Linked DNA regions of Saccharomyces cerevisiae S288C. Changing the gene in region 3 together with the main gene of any one other region gives a genetic interaction. Each region holds a gene or a part of one and is shown on either strand. Other genes may lie near its edges.

What was found.
Region 1: of DOA4 (region 3) and BRO1, changing one suppresses a phenotype caused by changing the other (phenotypic suppression), as found in Saccharomyces cerevisiae (2 studies listed by BioGRID).
Region 2: mutations in DOA4 (region 3) and DSC2 are lethal when combined (synthetic lethality), as found in Saccharomyces cerevisiae (2 studies listed by BioGRID, with this or other methods).
Region 4: of DOA4 (region 3) and CDC1, a mutation in one rescues a mutant of the other (synthetic rescue), as found in Saccharomyces cerevisiae (one study listed by BioGRID).

What each region holds. Positions count from the first base shown.
Region 1 is NC_001148.4:391,495-397,593, forward strand, and holds BRO1 (Bro1p), read left to right. Parts: upstream 1-2,543; coding exon 2,544-5,078; downstream 5,079-6,099. Other genes in the region: COPII coat assembly protein SEC16, read left to right, coding at 1-2,160; tRNA splicing endonuclease subunit SEN54, read right to left, coding at 5,208-6,099. UniProt on the Saccharomyces cerevisiae protein: Class E VPS protein involved in concentration and sorting of cargo proteins of the multivesicular body (MVB) for incorporation into intralumenal vesicles. Fusion between endosomes and the vacuole will then target the cargo proteins to the vacuolar lumen.
Region 2 is NC_001147.6:192,845-197,209, reverse strand, and holds DSC2 (Dsc2p), read left to right. Parts: upstream 1-2,409; coding exon 2,410-3,378; downstream 3,379-4,365. Other genes in the region: succinate dehydrogenase assembly factor SDH5, read right to left, coding at 215-703; THP1 (Thp1p), read right to left, coding at 873-2,240; YOL075C (uncharacterized protein), read left to right, coding at 3,668-4,365.
Region 3 is NC_001136.10:583,640-589,628, reverse strand, and holds DOA4 (ubiquitin-specific protease DOA4), read left to right. Parts: upstream 1-1,909; coding exon 1,910-4,690; downstream 4,691-5,989. Other genes in the region: PAA1 (polyamine acetyltransferase), read left to right, coding at 227-802; FMP16 (Fmp16p), read left to right, coding at 1,250-1,531; DOS2 (Dos2p), read right to left, coding at 4,984-5,916. UniProt on the Saccharomyces cerevisiae protein: Ubiquitin thioesterase that acts at the late endosome/prevacuolar compartment to recover ubiquitin from ubiquitinated membrane proteins en route to the vacuole. Also removes ubiquitin from soluble proteins targeted to proteasomes.
Region 4 is NC_001136.10:825,265-830,187, reverse strand, and holds CDC1 (putative lipid phosphatase CDC1), read right to left. Parts: upstream 2,607-4,923; coding exon 1,131-2,606; downstream 1-1,130. Other genes in the region: PLP1 (Plp1p), read right to left, coding at 1-603; YDR182W-A (uncharacterized protein), read right to left, coding at 834-1,037; SAS4 (Sas4p), read left to right, coding at 2,833-4,278; cohesin-loading factor complex subunit SCC2, read right to left, coding at 4,412-4,923. UniProt on the Saccharomyces cerevisiae protein: Probable metallophosphoesterase which may participate in recombinational repair of double -strand breaks.

The DNA.
Region 1 (6,099 bases), on a different chromosome or scaffold from region 3:
GCCCATAATGTACCAAGCCATAGTGTGCTGCATTCAAAGCCTTCCAATGTGTCAAAGGGGTTAGTTGAAGCAAACTTACCGTATACGCATAGGATCGGTGATAGTTTGCAGGGATCTCCTCAGCGCATTCATAATACACAGTTCGCTGCTGCTGAGCCTCAAATGGCTTCTTTGAGAAGAGTTAGAACAGACCAGCATACAAACGAAAAGGCTTTGAAGAGTCAGCAGATTTTAGAGAAAAAGTCTACGGCCTACACTCCACAATTTGGACAGAACCATAGCGTTCCAATGGAAAAGTCTAATTCGAATGTGCCATCTTTATTTGCCGACTTCCCTGCTCCACCCAAACTTGGAACAGTGCCGTCTAATTATGTGTCTAGTCCTGACTTAGTAAGAAGGGAGTCTATCATATCTACCGGATCAGAATTTCTTCCTCCTCCCAAAATTGGGGTACCTACTAAAGCTAATTCCTCGCAGGGATCGCTTATGTACTCACCAAGTGTGGAAGCTTTGCCTATCGACCCTGTCGTCCCGCAAGTTCATGAGACGGGATACAATGATTTTGGTAACAAACATTCTCAAAAAAGTATGCCTGAAGATGAATCTCACACATCACATGATAATAGCAATGCTGATCAAAATACATTAAAAGACTCTGCAGATGTTACAGATGAAACAATGGATATTGAAGGACCTGGCTTCAACGATGTGAAGAATCTTCTTCCTATGGAGCCCAACCACCAGCCTACGTCTACAGTAAATCCTATACAAACTATTAGTGACGATATCCAACCGATTCTTCAAACTAACGTGGAGGTCCGGGGTACTGATGCATCGAAAATGGAAAATTCACTTCCCTCCATTGAAAATGAAAGAAGTAGCGAGGAGCAGCCAGAAAACATTTCAAAATCAGCATCATCAGCATATTTACCATCAACTGGTGGATTGTCACTCGAAAACAGACCGCTAACTCAGGATGAAAACAGTATCTCAGAGACAGTTCAATCCACATACTTGCCAGCAGGAAGTATTTCAATGGAAGCTAAACCAATTTCTCAAGTGCAAGATGTTCCAAGAAATGTTAATAATAAAGCATCCAAACTTGTGGAGCAACATATGGCACCACCAAAGCCAAAAAGTACTGACGCAACCAAAATGAACTACTCACCATACGTGCCTCAATCAACTGCCGCTAGTGCAGATGGCGATGAATCAACGATTCTGAAAACATCGCCTGCTATATATGCAAGAACTCACCAAGCACATGCATCCAATCCATCACAATACTTTCCTTTGGTCAACCAAGCAAATGAAACTGCTTCATTCGAATTATCTGAATCAACATCCCAGGCACAAAGTAATGGAAATGTTGCTTCAGAAAATAGATTCAGCCCAATAAAGAAAGCCGAAGTCGTCGAGAAAGACACTTTTCAACCTACTATTAGGAAGGCTTCAACTAACCAATACAGGGCTTTTAAACCGTTGGAATCAGATGCGGATAAATACAATGACGTTATTGAAGATGAATCCGATGACGACAATATGTCTACTGATGAGGCAAAGAACAGAAAGGAAGAAAAAAAGAATGTGAATATGAAAAAGGAAACAAAACCAAGTAACAAGGACATAGATGACAAGTCTAATGGTTGGTTTGGTTGGTTGAAGAAAGATACTGGCGACAAAAAAGTGTATAAGGCCAAGCTAGGTCATAAAAACACACTATACTATGATGAAAAATTGAAACGTTGGGTGAATAAGGACGCAACCGAAGAGGAAAAACAAAAAATTATTGAAAGTTCGGCACCACCACCTCCTCCAATCGTGAAACGTAAAGATGGCGGCCCAAAGACAAAGCCACGTTCAGGCCCCATCAATAATTCCCTACCTCCAGTACATGCCACATCAGTTATTCCGAACAATCCAATCACTGGTGAGCCTTTGCCGATCAAAACATCCCCTTCTCCTACAGGACCCAATCCAAACAATTCTCCATCACCATCCTCTCCCATATCAAGGATTTCTGGCGTAAACTTGACTAGCAAAAAGGCAAACGGTTTGGATGATTTATTGAGTTTGGCAGGAGGACCCAAACCAGCAAGTACGAGAAGGAAGAAGAAAACAGCGAGAGGCTATGTTAATGTAATGGATAACATACAATAATTATAGTAATACGTTTTTCTTTCATGGTACCCTTATGCCTTCCCTTTTCTTGATGTATATTATATACTTATAAAAACCGTAGTAAATTTTATTAAAACAATGATTACAGGAATCCGTATTTAGGTTATGCATCGTTGTCAGTAAGAAATCAGATGAATGCGATCTGAAACTTTGCTTATACTAATATTATTCTATCATACCTCATTTTCTTGCTTCGATTAATGCAGGACGCCGGTTCCGGGTTAGGATCACCGAGAAACAGAAAGCAAGCAAGGCTTCAGTTACAATTCGAAGAAGTACTAAGGGGGTTGTCGTGGAAAAATCTTGAATCAGAAAGCGGCTGACTGGAGCATTACTAGGTTCATTACTCACTGGTTCTACTCATGAAACCTTACTTATTTGACCTAAAGCTAAAAGACACAGAGAAGCTGGATTGGAAAAAAGGCCTCTCCTCATATCTCAAGAAATCATACGGCTCCTCACAATGGAGAACATTTTATGATGAGAAAGCTACTTCAGAACTGGATCACTTAAGGAATAATGCAAATGGAGAACTAGCACCTTCTTCATTGTCGGAACAAAATCTAAAATATTACTCATTTTTGGAGCATCTTTATTTTCGCCTGGGTAGCAAAGGATCAAGATTAAAAATGGATTTCACTTGGTATGACGCAGAATACTCATCGGCCCAGAAAGGATTGAAATACACGCAACATACGTTAGCATTTGAAAAGTCTTGTACTTTGTTCAACATTGCTGTAATCTTTACCCAAATTGCGAGGGAGAATATCAATGAGGACTACAAAAACTCAATCGCAAATTTGACAAAAGCTTTTTCCTGTTTTGAATATCTATCAGAAAATTTTTTGAACTCACCTTCAGTCGATCTTCAGTCAGAAAACACTAGGTTTCTGGCTAATATTTGCCATGCAGAAGCTCAAGAATTGTTTGTCTTGAAATTATTAAATGATCAAATATCATCCAAGCAATATACATTAATCAGTAAACTTTCTAGAGCCACGTGTAACCTCTTTCAGAAATGTCACGATTTTATGAAAGAAATAGATGACGATGTGGCCATTTATGGTGAACCCAAATGGAAAACGACAGTTACTTGCAAACTGCATTTCTACAAATCGTTAAGCGCTTATTATCACGGTTTACACCTTGAAGAAGAAAATAGAGTTGGCGAAGCAATTGCTTTTCTCGATTTTTCTATGCAACAATTGATTTCATCCCTTCCATTCAAAACGTGGTTAGTGGAATTTATAGACTTTGATGGGTTTAAAGAAACTTTAGAAAAGAAACAAAAGGAGTTGATTAAAGATAACGATTTTATATATCATGAAAGCGTTCCAGCCGTTGTGCAGGTTGATTCCATTAAGGCGCTCGATGCAATAAAATCTCCAACATGGGAGAAGATATTAGAACCATATATGCAAGATGTTGCAAATAAATGTGACTCTTTGTACAGAGGAATTATTCCCCTAGATGTCTATGAAAAGGAAAGTATTTACTCAGAAGAAAAAGCGACGCTGTTGAGAAAGCAAGTTGAAGAAACTGAGACAGCAAATTTGGAATATTCTTCCTTCATCGAATTTACAAATCTACCCAGGCTCTTGAGTGATTTGGAAAAACAATTTAGTGACGGAAATATTTTCTCGAATACGGATACACAGGGACAATTGATGAGGGACCAAATTCAGACATGGTGTAAATTTATCCAAACAAATGAATTTAGGGATATAGAAGAACAGATGAACAAAATTGTTTTCAAAAGGAAACAAATTTTAGAAATCCTTTCTGCCTTACCCAATGATCAAAAAGAAAATGTTACAAAACTAAAATCTTCTTTAGTAGCTGCTTCAAACTCAGACGAAAAATTGTTCGCATGCGTAAAACCACATATTGTCGAGATCAATCTATTGAATGACAATGGAAAAATATGGAAGAAGTTTGACGAATTTAATCGCAATACGCCTCCACAACCTAGCCTATTGGATATCGATGATACCAAAAACGACAAGATATTAGAGTTGTTAAAACAAGTAAAGGGCCATGCGGAAGACTTAAGAACATTGAAAGAGGAACGTTCGAGAAATTTGTCTGAACTAAGAGACGAAATCAACAACGATGATATCACAAAATTATTAATTATTAATAAGGGGAAATCCGATGTTGAGCTCAAAGATTTATTCGAGGTGGAACTGGAGAAATTCGAGCCTTTGAGCACAAGAATAGAGGCGACAATTTACAAACAATCTTCAATGATAGATGACATCAAAGCCAAGCTAGATGAAATTTTTCACCTTTCAAATTTCAAGGATAAATCTTCTGGGGAAGAAAAATTTTTAGAAGATCGTAAGAATTTTTTTGATAAGCTGCAAGAAGCAGTGAAATCATTCAGTATTTTTGCATCCGACTTGCCAAAAGGAATAGAGTTCTATGATTCATTATTCAATATGAGTAGAGACTTAGCAGAAAGAGTGAGAGTTGCAAAGCAGACCGAGGATTCAACAGCTAATTCTCCCGCTCCTCCCCTCCCTCCACTTGATTCTAAAGCGTCTGTCGTTGGGGGTCCTCCATTACTGCCCCAAAAAAGTGCAGCCTTTCAGTCATTATCTAGACAAGGGCTCAATTTAGGGGACCAATTTCAAAATCTCAAAATAAGTGCCGGCAGTGATTTACCTCAAGGACCCGGTATTCCACCAAGAACTTATGAAGCTTCGCCATATGCTGCAACGCCTACTATGGCAGCCCCACCAGTACCACCGAAACAATCGCAAGAGGATATGTACGACTTGAGAAGACGTAAAGCAGTTGAAAACGAAGAACGTGAACTGCAAGAGAATCCTACGTCCTTTTACAATAGACCCTCTGTTTTTGATGAAAATATGTACTCCAAATACAGCAGTTAGGTGCATTTCTTATTTCTTAATTTTATTGTAGCTTTTTTTTTTCAACTAATATGATAATTATATATATACCGGATTTGTTGAAAGCCAGTTTTGCAAGGATAAAGAAACTGCGATTTAGCAAAAGTCCCTTTAATGCTTCTTCCATCTTTGATCTACTTTCTTTTGAGTATTAGGTGTATACCATACACTTTCAGATCCAAAATCAGCCTCGGACATTTTTACAAACGAAATAAGGCCATTATCCATAATAGCGATAATAAAGCTCCGATATCCCGTCTTCAATCTACGATTTTGCTGTATGTGAGGTGGGTACGCCTTTCTCTTCTTTTTCGTGCTAGACTGTGCAGTTTTTTTTTGAAAACTTGCTTTCATAGACGACTCACTTTTTTCAGTTTGAGATTTCGCGCTCCTCTTATGAATATATTCCTTTCGTGGGATATCTTCAACGTAGGAGTTTGTCTCCCAATCGTCATCATCCTCGATTTCGCTTAAAAATTCGAATTTATAATCAAGTGAGGAAAACATAGATCGCAGCTCTTTATAGGTAGGAAAATGCTGAAGATCGTCATTTTTATTGTAAACGAAAACTTGGAAATCAGGAAGACCGGGGTCTCTTTTCTTGAAATTAGAATGGGGTTTCCATACTTTAAATGTCAAGGGAATATCCTTTACCTTTTGAAATTCCCTATCAGATTGTGCATCCAATAGCTCTTTTTTATTCTTTGGTACAGCCACGGAACGAACAAGCCTATTTAAACCCTGGTATAACTGTGGTGAAGTCGTATATTTACGAAAAAAAAAATTCCACTTAGAATAGAAGAAACCACTAAACAGCGATAACTCTTGTATTTTAAACAATGAAAGTAATCTCCAAGTGATTGCTTGTAAATTACTTCGTTGCTTTTTCAATGGGAAAAAGGAAGTCTTGACTGCTGCTTCTTGATTGCTGGGTTTTAGAATAAAACCCAACCTTTTTAAATGAGCAAACACAAAATATTGGTCCATTTCCTGTTGCGATGAA
Region 2 (4,365 bases), on a different chromosome or scaffold from region 3:
ACAATAATAATAGTAATAGTAACAGTGGTAGTAACAATAACAATAACAATATCAATATCAATATCAATAATATATTATAATACTAATAATGAATAATAATAATAGCAATAAGTATAGTATAGTATAGTGGTAATATATAAGTTTCTTTCTCTTCCGGTTTATTTACAAGTCATATACAAATAAAAAAAAGTGATAGTAATTCAATGGCTTGTATTCATTGATACTTGGACAAGTCCGGCATACTTAAAATTTCCTTCTCTTTATTTTCACTGAATTCTTGTAGCTGCTTCAGCAATTTAGAATTGGCCCACTTGTCAGGCAAGGGGCTGGTTTTGAAATTTTTTGTGGCCCAATAGTATATGTCCCAGTCCAACTCATTCAATAGCGAATCGTATTCTTCCAGTTCCTCTTCGTTCATCTTCTTCAAATATTTGGCAGCGAACCCAGATAGCAGCAAGTCCGTCTCCAAGATCCCTCTTTTGCGTGATTGATATATCAACCGAGCTCTTTTCTTATCCAATGGCTCGTTAGTTCTCTTTATGGGGGCAATTTTAATCCTCGTCACCACATCGTCGTGGTCATCTTTATCACTACTAAACCACCTACGACCGCACGACCATGCAGCGGACCCTGTTTGAGAGTTGATAATCTTGTAGCCTTGCAACGACAGTGTCTTTGTGAGTGCTGGAAACATATTGTGCATTTATGTGCTCCTTTTTAAAGTGTACTCCCTTTTTTCCTCCTGTTCTTTTTTTACAAATTTCGCCTTTCTTATATATCCTAAATATACTTAAAATCTAGTCTCTTATGAAATCTGTAAGAAACAGCATAATGTCGCTCCTTCTCTTCTATTTCCTATATATATCTACATATCACCAAAGAACGTGAGAATGGGCAGGAAACATCTTGGTGATTCGTTCATTAACCGGCGGAACAATCTCTTGTATCATTGTAGTCTTTTTCACTACACACAGTTGTAACTGTGGGAAACAGTTTGCGCGTAAAAGTCCCAAGTTAATCAGTGTCACAAGTACGTTTTCGACGTTCTTGGGGGAGTGAATGCCATTATAAATGGTAATTTCCTGGGCGCCGGGATCCTCGAATGTCGGACCAATAGATAGCTGTAGTACCCGTTCTATCAAGGAGTACGGTAATTTGTTCTGACCCCATTCGGTGGTCCAGGACTTTATTACCGTTTTAATCAGATTTCTGTACGTTACCATGGGCAGTTTCTCTAGGAGCACGATCAGTAACTGTCTTGCACACAAATGACGCTCGTTTTGTCTCAGCCAGAGACTCACGCCTTGAATATTCCCATAACGTACGTGTTTGTAGAGAACACTCCAATTATCAATTGTTTCTTGGGAAAGGAACGGTCGCAACGGTCCCCATTTGACCATCTTTCCCAGTATCAGCCCTGTAGGGATCATGTAATTTAGTATTCTGGTGCCATTCCTAGTGATCGCTTGGTTCGTTAACGGCAAGTTCAATAAGGACTGGAAAGCTTCATTGAATTGAACGAAGGCATTATGTACTTGAGAGTTCAACAAGTAGTACCTTCCTAATAGATATCTGTATTCTATTTGCTGGTCGAGCTGGTATTCGTTGAAATGTGCAAGCATGCTTTTTGGCTGAAAGTTCTTAAAGATATTGGAACATAATTGCGGTGACTCGATCCTGAAGTAGATGTTATTTAGTTTATTGACCAGGTAGAGCAGTATTCGTTGTTTTCCAGGTATATTTGTAGAAGATGCGTTACCTCGTGGAGGTTTGATGCTGTTAAATAGTCTTGATAGGATGGACGATATATGTGATAGAAATTGGTGACTTCTCGTATGCAGTTGCAAGTGGAAAGAGTCTAGTTTCCCAGCGAGATTGATGATAAATTCTGTTTCTCTAGTTGCTACTGGTATCAACATTTCTATGTGAGGAGCATTGTCGTTGATGAGACAGTTGATTAAACATTGATAAAACTCAAAAATTAGATCCGAACTGGACCAGGCTGACCATGGGTCGACATCTCGGGCATAATTTAAAAAGGATGTACACATGATTTTGAATCTCGTATCATTGGGCATAGCCGGGTGTTGTTCTACAAACGTTTCTAGCTGTTTATCATCAAATCCGGTCAATTGCTTCTGTAAGATAGCAATTTCCCTACCATTTTGGGACAAGTTTAGCGTTAGGTGGGAAAAATTTCCATGTGCTAATTCATCTAGCAACTGGTTGGCCATGTCCATTGCTATCTATCCTTTTATCCCTGCCCTGTTTCTTACTTTGAATGCCATTGATGTGAAGATGGTTTTTTTTTTTTGGAAAAGTATAGAAGAGAAATTTGACGTATAAACTTAACTATTAAAGGGAGAGAAAGTCAACGACATAAAAAGCAAACACAATAGTCTACAAATAATGTCTATGGAGCCTCCTGTGGGGCTTACGGCTATGCCCGTCACCAAGCTAGCCATGATCACGACGCTTGTGGTTCCCTTAGTTGCCTCGATTGCAAGTTACAAACATATATTTCTATTGCAATATGATCCTTTTCTGCAGACCTACCATCAATACTACCGTCTGCTCATATTCCAGTTCTGCGCCATCAATGAATCCGATACAGTAATACTGGCGTTGATATGGTATCTGTTTAGGCATTTAGAACGGCTACTAGGATCCCACAAGTACTTGACCTTGATTGTTTTGTCATGGGCCTACACCACCTTAGGAATTTGGGGATTGAATCTGATCTGGAACGCATTTATTGGACAGTACAAGTGGCTTCAATGGAACAATTTTAGTACAGGTTCACTGCCCATTGTTTTAAGCTTAGTACATTTTTACAAAGAATACACCCCTCAGATTTACGAATGGAATATAAGATTACTAGGACCTCGAGGAGGAGCATCAAGTCACAATGATAACAAGCGAGAAGACAAGAGCGCCGTAGAGTGGAAAATCAACGATCAGTTTCTTTTAAATGGGTTAATTCTCCTGCTTATATTAAATCAGGGGTTTGCAGGAATACTATGCGGATTCATAAGCTGGATGTGTGGTATTTTCATCGATAAGGGCCTGTTACCGGGATTAGACCATTGGAGAATACCGTTTGTATCCTATTTCATCTCTCAAGGCCCACCCACGAGGGCTAACGTTGCTATAGCGGCCAATGCGGCCACGAATACAGCAGCAGCAAGAGCCACTGTAGAAGCAGCTACTGCTGCTACAGGAAATGGAAATACAGGCAACTCTGGGCCTACAAGCCTACCGCTTCGTGGTTCAAGCACCACCCCTACAAATACCTCTAGCGCTGGTGATGACGAGCCTGGTGCCGATGAACCTGCAAGACCACTGGGAGTCCAATTTTTGGATACCTTTAGGAGATGATTTATATCAGCATATACCTACATAAACAAATAAACATAGCAACGGTTTAGCAACATCGTTTACAGCCATGTGAGGCAGTTACTTCTATCATATGTCTGGCTTTAGTATTGTTGGGTTGACACTTATACGAAATATCAGAAAGTGAAAAAAAAAAAAGGAAGGATCTAGTGATGAGATAAACGAATTTGTGATGTAAATGCAGAAGTAGGCACAAGTGCTTGGCAGTTTTCAAACGATCATCGTATTTTAAGCTACAATCACCAACGCCAAACATCCACTTGCAGCCACTATGTCACAGCAGGAGAATGGTGATGTGGCCACTGAATTAATCGAAAATAGACTTTCCTTCTCAAGAATCCCTAGAATAAGCCTTCATGTAAGGGATTTGTCAATCGTTGCATCCAAAACAAATACGACGCTAGTTAATACGTTTTCCATGGACCTGCCCAGTGGGTCGGTCATGGCAGTTATGGGTGGTTCGGGGTCAGGGAAGACTACGTTGCTGAATGTTCTGGCATCCAAGATCAGTGGTGGGTTAACTCATAATGGTTCTATACGGTACGTATTGGAAGATACAGGTTCAGAACCCAATGAAACAGAGCCTAAGAGGGCTCACTTGGATGGCCAAGACCATCCCATCCAGAAACACGTAATAATGGCGTACCTACCTCAACAAGATGTACTCTCTCCTAGGTTGACTTGTAGAGAAACTCTTAAGTTTGCAGCTGATTTGAAACTAAACTCTTCTGAGCGAACCAAGAAATTAATGGTCGAGCAATTAATTGAAGAATTAGGGCTCAAGGATTGTGCCGATACTCTTGTGGGGGACAACTCGCACAGGGGTCTTTCTGGTGGTGAAAAGAGAAGACTAAGTATTGGTACTCAAATGATTTCAAACCCTTCCATCATGTTCTTAGATGAGCCTACCACTGGACTGGATGCATATTCTGCCTTCTTGGTTATTAAAACTTTGAAAAAATTAGCTAA
Region 3 (5,989 bases):
AATCGGCTTGCTTTTGGTTTTCTGTCAATTCATAAAAAGAATAGTTTTGAACGGGCAAAAATGGAAAAGCAATGGAAGAACGACGAACATCCCACTGGACAAGAAGCGGGAGCAAGTGTTTGTAAGAAAAATTTACAACAAACTAGATTAAGAAGAATTGGACATCAGAATACTTTTCTCGGAGAAAAAATAACACCAATACATTACGATTAAATAAAAAGTTAAAATGGCCTCCTCAAGTAGCACGCTACCGCTTCATATGTATATTAGACCCTTAATCATTGAAGATTTAAAGCAGATTTTGAACTTGGAAAGCCAAGGTTTCCCACCAAACGAAAGAGCTTCAGAAGAAATTATCAGCTTTCGTTTGATCAATTGTCCAGAGCTATGTTCAGGTCTTTTCATCAGAGAGATCGAGGGCAAAGAAGTTAAAAAGGAGACACTAATTGGTCATATTATGGGTACTAAGATACCTCATGAATACATTACTATCGAAAGCATGGGCAAATTACAAGTGGAATCGAGTAATCATATTGGTATTCACTCTGTAGTAATCAAGCCAGAATACCAGAAAAAAAACCTGGCTACTTTACTTTTAACTGACTACATTCAGAAATTGAGTAATCAGGAAATTGGTAACAAAATTGTCCTTATTGCTCACGAGCCATTGATACCATTTTATGAAAGAGTTGGTTTCAAGATCATTGCTGAGAACACCAATGTTGCTAAGGACAAAAACTTCGCAGAACAGAAATGGATCGATATGGAGAGAGAACTAATTAAGGAAGAATACGACAACTAGATCATTAGTTTAACGCACTTTACAAATGTCTAATTATAAATACTACATATAATTTTTGTATATTTTAAAATTGCCAAGTATAATTAAAATCATTACTACTGGTGCTACCCTACATCCTTGACCGTACTGAGATATCACTGCTTAATTCCGGTGATTGGGTTCTTTTCAGTTCTTGGAGAGATATACGTACTACCTTCCTTTTTTTTTAAGGATACCTTTACTGTAAAGGGTTTGTTCCTGTATCAACCCCTTCTTCCTGTACAGAATCTAAGGGAACCGTAAAAGCACATAAGTATATAAAGGTCCCAAGATTTGATTAGGTAGATATGGCCTTTGAGTTGGCTCTTAGTTTTTTTTGGCCTTGAATACTTGTTCCTACAATACTCCAACAGCAGTTGAAGCCAGACCGCAGTATCACATATATAATACACAGGAATATATTTGATAATGTTGAGAACCACTTTTTTGCGCACTCCAAGACAATTGATGCGTAAATCGCCAAGGGCGTCTTTCTCAATCGTCACTAGGGCCGCCTTTCCTCACCTAAAGAACAATCAAGATGAAGCTGAGAAAAAAGAACAGGGTTTGTTTGATAGCAACAAGAAGAGGTTGGACACTTTGGAACACGGCAAGAATCCAGATTATAAGCAACCTGGAATGGAAGATTTGAAAAAAAAGGGAGATGACGCTAGAATCGAACAAAACAGGCCAGATGACGGTGTTTATTAAGAAGCACTTGGTACAAACTCGTATATGCATGTAGTTTCTGTCATACACATATCTATATTCCTTCCCCCCTGGTCCTATCGTATTTAGTCATATCATATCATTTATTGATATCTATATAAGTGCAAAACTATAACCATTATTTATTTGCTTTCCACATTGTTTTACTTCATTTGCTTCAATATCGTTCATTACGTTTAGCGAATGGCTAAGGCCCTTGTATTAGTAAAAGCCTAGAAAAAAAAAAAAAAAAAAAAAAAAGGATATGATGTTATATGATACGTGTAGTTCATGTATTTATCTTCGGTAGTATAGGGCAGATTTAAGACTGAGTGTGCACGCTTCCAAAGTTTTTTTTACTATTTGATACATGCTTAAGTTATGGAGCAGAATATTATTAGTACCATAAGGGATGAGTGTATTCGTCACCGGTCGAAGTACCTTACGATAGCACAACTAACCGCTATTGCAGAGGCTAAAATTAACGAATTCATCATAACTGGTAAGGCAAAAGATCAAGATTTGAGCAGTCTTCTAGATAAATGCATCGATATTTTATCTATTTACAAGAAGAACTCGAAAGATATCAAAAATATTATATCGTGCAAAAATAAGGGTGCAATGATTAGTTCAAATTCCGTAATGATTATTCAATTAAATTATGTTTACTACAAGGTAATTCACATTATTGTAACAACCAATATTCCTCATTTAAGTGAATTCGCCAAGATTAAATTACATAAGAGCACGAGTGATGAGGGCAACGGTAATAACAACAATAATGAATTTCAACTCATGAACATTTACAACACTTTGCTGGAAACCTTATTAAAAGATGAAAACATTGCAAAAATAAAAAGTTTCATTAAGTCTTCCATAAAACAAACAAAATTGAACCATGAGCAAGAAGAATGTAACCTGATGAGAACGGGTTCCTATATCACTTCCAATCAATTAAACTCCCTAATAAGTTCATCAGCAAATTCTGCTTCCTCCCAAATGGAGATACTACTGATAGATATACGATCAAGGTTGGAATTCAACAAGTCACATATTGATACAAAAAATATTATATGCCTGGAGCCTATTTCTTTTAAAATGTCATATTCAGATCATGATTTGGAGAAAAAATCATTAATTACTTCTCCTAATAGTGAGATTAAAATGTTTCAAAGTAGAAATCTTTTCAAGTTTATCATTCTCTATACAGACGCAAACGAATACAATGTTAAACAGCAGTCTGTCCTGTTGGACATTCTGGTGAATCATTCCTTTGAAAAACCAATATCCGATGACTTTACCAAAATTTTCATTCTGGAATCTGGTTTTCCAGGTTGGCTTAAGTCAAATTATGGGAGGCAAGTATCATCATCTTTTCCATCAAATAACAATATTAAAGATGATAGTGTTTATATTAATGGTAACACTTCTGGCCTAAGTTTACAACATTTACCTAAGATGTCTCCCAGTATAAGACATTCAATGGACGACTCTATGAAAGAAATGCTAGTTGCGCCTACTCCATTAAATCATCTTCAACAACAGCAACAACAGCAATCAGACAATGATCATGTGCTAAAAAGATCTTCAAGTTTCAAAAAATTATTCTCAAATTATACGTCTCCTAATCCGAAGAATTCAAATTCAAACTTATATTCTATATCTTCGTTGTCCATATCTAGTTCACCATCGCCTTTACCTCTACATTCGCCTGACCCAGTTAAGGGCAATTCATTGCCAATCAATTATCCGGAAACGCCACATCTTTGGAAAAACAGTGAGACAGATTTTATGACAAATCAAAGAGAACAGTTGAATCACAACTCTTTTGCTCACATAGCTCCTATCAACACGAAGGCCATCACTTCTCCATCAAGAACTGCCACACCGAAGTTACAACGCTTCCCGCAAACAATTAGTATGAACCTTAATATGAACTCCAATGGACACAGTTCTGCCACCTCTACCATTCAACCTTCGTGTCTATCCTTGTCTAATAATGACTCTTTAGATCATACAGATGTTACACCAACTTCTTCTCATAATTATGACCTTGATTTCGCGGTTGGTTTGGAAAATCTAGGAAATTCGTGTTACATGAACTGTATCATTCAGTGTATCTTAGGTACACACGAATTAACCCAAATCTTTTTGGACGATTCATATGCTAAACACATCAATATTAATAGTAAGTTGGGATCGAAAGGTATTCTGGCAAAATATTTTGCAAGGTTGGTTCATATGATGTATAAGGAACAGGTTGATGGTTCAAAGAAAATTTCCATATCACCGATAAAATTTAAATTGGCATGTGGATCTGTTAACTCATTATTTAAGACTGCATCCCAACAGGACTGCCAAGAGTTTTGCCAATTCCTTCTAGATGGTCTTCATGAAGACTTGAACCAATGCGGTTCAAACCCACCTTTGAAGGAGCTTTCTCAAGAAGCTGAGGCGAGAAGAGAAAAACTGTCTTTGCGAATTGCCTCGTCAATTGAGTGGGAACGATTCTTGACTACTGATTTCAGTGTTATTGTCGACTTATTTCAGGGACAATACGCCTCACGACTAAAATGTAAAGTCTGTAGTCATACCTCGACAACATACCAACCTTTTACGGTGCTGTCAATCCCTATTCCTAAAAAAAATTCCCGAAATAATATTACCATTGAAGATTGTTTCAGAGAGTTCACCAAATGTGAGAACTTGGAAGTGGATGAGCAATGGTTGTGCCCACATTGTGAAAAAAGGCAGCCCTCCACGAAACAATTGACAATAACGAGATTACCGAGGAATCTGATAGTCCATTTAAAGAGATTTGATAATTTATTAAACAAAAATAATGACTTCGTCATATACCCTTTTTTGTTGGACTTGACTCCATTTTGGGCCAATGATTTTGACGGGGTTTTTCCTCCAGGTGTTAATGACGATGAACTACCAATAAGGGGACAAATACCACCTTTTAAGTATGAATTATATGGTGTAGCATGCCACTTTGGTACTTTGTATGGTGGTCATTATACAGCCTATGTGAAAAAGGGATTAAAGAAGGGATGGCTATATTTTGATGATACCAAATATAAACCTGTCAAAAACAAAGCCGATGCAATTAACTCTAATGCATACGTTTTGTTTTATCACCGCGTCTACGGTGTTTGATTCATTTGAATAAATAACTGAAAACCGTTGTCTATACACTTTTTTTCCCGTTCAACATGGCATATCATTATTTCCATCTAAGGTCAAAGTAAAAAACCCTAAATACAAATGATTTATTTTAACGGTAACAAACGAACTTTTTTTTAGAAGGTGTAAAGATGAGATCACGCCCAGATTTTGTCTTCCTCCTGTGCATCTCTTGGATTGATGATTTTCCTTTCTACCATAATACGTCATGAAAAGTATGTAAATATTTATAGCATTACATATATCTTTTATATGAAAAAAATCACTCATTCCCAGTCATCATCGTCGTCGTCGTCCTTGCTCTCATCCTTGTTGGCGAGGCCAACATGGTCACTAACATCTTTCAATCCCTCTTGAGACACAGCAACTTTCGTCTCCCCTTTAGATTTGTTGTCAGCTACTGCTTCTACTTTGTCATCATCTTCTTCTTCTTCTTCGTCATCCCACTCAACTTCTTTTTCCTCCGTTTCCTTTTCCTTTTTGGACAATATTTCTTTCCTTTTACTTTCTTTATCTAGAATTTTGTTTCTTTGTAAGAAATAGATGTGCCAGAAATCTTTATAGCTGATTTTATGGGGTACGATGTCGTTCATTAATTTGGAGATATCTTTGTCGCCCTGTAAAATAGAACATATCTCCTCAGTTTTTTCATCCACGTCAAACGGGTCCAGTTGCAAATCCATTTTATTGTCTAAATAAACCGATTTATCTTTAGATAATGTCCTTAGTTCGGCTTCTGTTCTATTTCCACCCACAGCAATTTCATTTTCTTTCGAATTCTCATCCTTGTCATTAGAGTCATTTTCTGCAGCATTATCGAAGCTACTGAAGCCAGACCAAAAATTCTTAGTTTTCATTTTGCTCCAATATGACTGGGCTAGACTTTCCACGCTGTGAATATTCTCGTCTAGTTTCTTCAAATACTTTTGTGCAGTCTCTGTAGTTTCATTGCTAATTGGCAAGTTAATTTCAATTCCGTCATCTTTCTCGATTACTAACTTTTTGAATGCACTTGTAGTCTTTTCATATCGTTTATTGACTTCCTCTTCTAACTTTTGGAAGGCCTCATTTGTTTTGTCATCTCGGCTCTGAAGTTCGTTATTTTCAGTGTTTTCTGTTGATCCAGTTTCCTTGGTATGAGAGTTGCTTATTTTATCATCTTCGATACAAGCTACTTGTTCTTCATAAAAGAATTCCATTTTATCCTAAAACGTCGAAGCAATGGAGCTCACTAGCTGTACCCTTATGTTGTGTTCTTTTTTTGTTGCATGA
Region 4 (4,923 bases), 240 kb from region 3:
GAATGTGTCTTCTATAACACCTGAATGGGCTAAAGATTGCTCTAGCCTCCTAATATCAAACCCATTAGGGTCATTTCCCAGTTTACTAAATCCTACGTAGCGAACTTTTTCTAGGCCATTCTTGTATCCAACTACAAACGGAAGTACTTTAATATTCAGTTTATTAACCAAAAATGGACATGTTTGGACGTTTACTTTAATAAATCTCGTGGTTAGATACCTCTTTGCCAAGTTTTCCAGTTTTTCATTCATATACTGGCACTTACCGAATGTTTCTAATTCAAAATGTATGACCACCATAGTAGTCTTTGTACATATTTGGATAGCATCTGCCTCGTTATCAATGCACTGCAATCTACCGTATCCGTCATCCTCAACATTCTTCTTGACCTGTTTTAAATGATCTGATATTTGTTGTAGCCTCTCCGACCGATAAGCACTCAAAAATTCATGATCCTCGTCTAATTCTCTATCCAATTCATTAAGTAGTTCATCTAAATTTTCCTCGCCACTACTTTTGTCATCGCTATCGACAGTTGTGTGTTTATCCTTTTCAGCATTTGAAAGCACATTTGTGTAGTATCTGTCTAATTTATCTTCCATATTAATTTAATCTTCATATACGTATGAGTTGTTAAGAGAATGGAGTATTTTCGTTAATCTTTTGTACTTCATCCTACTTTCGTGTTTTTTAAACTCTAAAAATTACACTACTATGATCACTATATTGCTATGGAATAATAAAAAGCAAAAACGAAAGATTGAAAGGAAAGTCGTCCTTTTGTATCCATCTTTTAAACAAAGCTTACAAAGAAATTTGCCGTCATGACTTGCTAAATTTGATATAAAACTAAAGGAACCAACAACTTACCTAGGTGTTCTTTTTTGTCCCCGTATAGTGAAGTAATTGGTGTTACGCCCAGTCCTGCAGTTTTAGCTTGGACCACAAAACATAATGCAAATCCAGTAGAGGTTATGCAAACTGTTTGGTGAGCATAGTAATACCACACCCGGTATAATTTATATCTCTTGTTCATTGTCTGTATATAAGGTGTATTCGCATATATTAAATAGCCAGACGTTTCCCTTCAAAGCATTTTGATCCTGGAAGAGAATAGCAGTAATTCTGTCTAGACTACAGTATAAAAATAAATAAAAATGGGCATCACAGAAACAAAAAGGACAATTGCATTAACTAGAAATTGTTTGATCGAACGCGTATCATTCACAGCGTATTTACTATGTGTCAATGATTTTTTGGATTTCGATTTGGAAATACTTGTAGGTAATGGCAAATCTGAGGTGTTACCATCAGGTCGTGTAAATACTCTGTTCATTATGGTTGCTACGCGATTATTAAAAGATTTTGGGAAAAAATGCATGTATGCGATAAAGGCAGCAGAGAATAATAATCCCCATAGGTACATTCTGATTGCCTTATAGGGATCTGGCATATAGCATAGCTCTGTTTGGTAAGTTTTTGATGCATACTCTCCGCCGGCATTTACCATTGTCAAATCTGAAGGATTATATAAGGAGAGCAATTGAATAGCAGGCCTACTGATCCCCATGTTCATTGCACATGACTTTACTGTAATTTCTTGAGCATTTTTAGTTTTCCCCTGAAACGGATATGAGTGTGATATCTGACAATGGTCATGATCATCCCCGGAAAATAATATTTCTGGTTGAATTTTCGTTAAAATTTCTTGTGATATATCGTTTTCTATAACTGTCTGGTACTGGTGCCCTTTCTGAATAGGAAAAGGTTCTTTGGATTCACGTAGCTGACCGCACGTTTGCTGTTCTGGATCCCTCCATAATGGAACGTGAGTTAAAAGAATTCTAGGAAGCGGATGTGAACCCATTGCAAAATTATCCAAAAACTGTCTAGGAACCCTCGAGACATTCGGATTTGTTTTATCAGAAAGCGAAATTGTATCTAAAAGTACAAAGGTATGATTTCCAGCGTCTAATGAGGAGGAAGTTTCTCCAAAGTAACTAGAAAATCTCTGTAAACTCGATTCAACAACTGTGTCTCCAAAACCAATATCGTGATTACCTGGTAAAGACATGACCGTTCTTCTCAGTGGCTTCTTGGGGAATATTTGGTTGAATCGTGTGTACTCTTTAATCCATTGCTTATCATCCCAGTTTCTCCCTCCATCAAATAGATCACCTAGGAAAAAATTGCTATCAGGATCCAAGTAATACTGGACATATTTCCAATTTCTCCTGTGATAATGGTCAACAATCACTCTTGTAAAATAATTAACTATTTGAGGCCTCCCAGGATATGAATATTCGTCCATTATTTGTGGGTCTGCAAATAAACCCACCCTATGACTTTCAGCGCCTTCAGGCCAATCCTCCCAAGTCGACCATTGGCACTTCTTCATTGCTCTCTTCACAACCACTGATTCATAATAAGATATTAATCCTAACCATAAGATCCATACAATAGATATGTATCTCCAGTAGATTCTTAACCTCTTCTTGCTCCTGCTTTTTGATTTCTTTTTCGAACGTGATTTATAGTGGGCCTTATCGTCGCTCTTCTTGCTGTGTGTAGATAAAACGCTCTTTGACCTGTTACGATATACCATACTTCCTAGAGCTTATTGTCTAATGTATCCAACAGATTAGTAGAAGCGGTACTGTTTTCCCTTTCTTTTTGGTTATTGTTGTTTCCATAATCGTTCGTTCTACATTTTTAAAAATAAGAAAATCTAACCCGCGAGTTGATTTCAGCGATCTCAAAACAAAAAGTAGCAAGATTAAAAAGGAAAACCGAAAATTTCTACAGCATTAAAAGCATATGAGAGTTCATCAATGGGTATTTTTCAATCAATAGAAGAAGCAAATAATACTTCTGAGAGATTGCTGAGGTCTGAGATTAAAAATAGTCATGGAGAATTTGAAAAATTCGATTTTGATACAGAAGAATACGAAATTAACCCTAAAAGGAAGTTAAGATTAGTCAGCAGGATAAACCCAAATGCTGGACATCTAAGGAAATCTAAGTCCTGCTTTACTGTAGATGAGCATGTTGACGAAACGCGTTGTCAGAAACCTGTGATGAAGTCGCCGTTCATGAGTAATGTCGATGATGAGATCAAGAAAAAGAGAGAGACAATTACAAAGATGACACTAGAAATTGAACATCATGAATTGAGCCAGAATATTAGAAAACCAACTGATGATTTGCTTCCTGATAGCACGTATCAGCCTTACCACAAGAAAATGTTGAAGCAAGAAAATAGAATGATTCAATCGGACATCGTAAATGGTGAAAATGAAGCAGACAGGCTTTCATTAATTTCAGACAGACTGGGTATGTTGAATTGGGAAGTAACATTACAGAAGGTTACTAAAATAAATGACCCCACTGACGAGAATGAAATGGAGACTAAACGTTACCAAACTAAAGAGCTGATTGATTCAATGTTACATAAATTTGAATCTATGAAAAAAAAAAGCCGCAATTTAGCTAGAAGGCCAGCCTCAAGTGATTCATTGTTGAAATTGGTTAGTGGCAAAGATTGGCCCAAGATATATACTCGAATCGATCGAACTTTTATTCCAGATTACGCAAGCTCCTCTGACGAAGAAGAAGAAAAAATAACCGTTGAGGAAATAAGGGAGAGACGCCTAAAGAAGAGAGAGCAGCAATGCGGTGGTTCCATTATAGTACTGCTGAGCGATCATCAATCACAAAAGGGAATGACACGGTTTGCTATCGTAGCTGAGCCGCTCCGAAAACCGTATTTGATTAAAACCTCCACTAAAGAGAGAAATTCATGGAAAAACAAAGTTCCCACAAATCCAAAAAAATTCAAGAAAGCTCCTCGAATATCAACGCAAATTGCTGTGAAAAGAAGAAGGGAAGTCATCCCGTTAACGATGGAGGTGGAACCAGAAGTCATTCGGGATATAAGGCAAGATACACAAAAGTCTATGAAACTGAATGTTAAAGCGGAGGAAATATCTGTGACAGAGACTGTCAAATCAAAAGAAATGAATGCCTTAAGGAACAATGCTGCATCTATAAGTCCAACTCTTTCAGAGAAGGCACCTTTAGGTTCAATTTCATCTTGCACTGCATCTCAGATTTCACAAAGGTCTTCTGAGAATGTGGGTGCTATTATTAACAATATCAACCCAAACTTAGCAATAGTGCCCTCTTGTAACGAAAAGACCTTTGTAAAAACACACAATGGAATGAAAACTAACTCAGGTATTAATATTTTGCCTGTCCGCAAGAAAAAAAAGGTTTAGTTTGAACTAATATAATGCGATGGTGTAAATGAAATTCAATATTTCATAGTTGCTTCTCAAAACCTGCGTGAAAAATCAGCATGGAAAATGCAAAATGATTATTAATACTATGTATATTTTAAGTGCAATATATTTACGTATCCTTCACGTGTTTTCTAAAATATGTAAGAAGCTTGCCATTTGATGAATACTGTTCAATATTCTCCAACTGTGCGGAAAACTTACTGATATCCGGCTTCTTTGCAGGGAGTTGTTTGTTCTTCAATTCTGATTCTTCTACAATATCTAATAAAAGCACATCATCCCTTAACCCGTATAAGTGCAGTAGATAAGTACCCAAATCCTGTAAGCTTAACTGTATTAAAATTATTCCACTGAGCTTTTCTTCTGATACGGATAGCGATGAAACATTGTCACCTATTTCATCCATGATAACCTCTTTTAATCTATCTGTAGTTAAATCAATGGTTTTGAGTAGGGACACCAAATCGTACTGAGAAACAAATGTGATATTCGAAATGTTAGTGCAGAGAACGAAAATGGACTTTTGAACACTACTATTTGTTGATGTTAAATCGGTGATATCATCTAAATAGGATTGCATGATTCTCTTCAGAACTTTAAAGAACTTTGGGCCATTTTTTT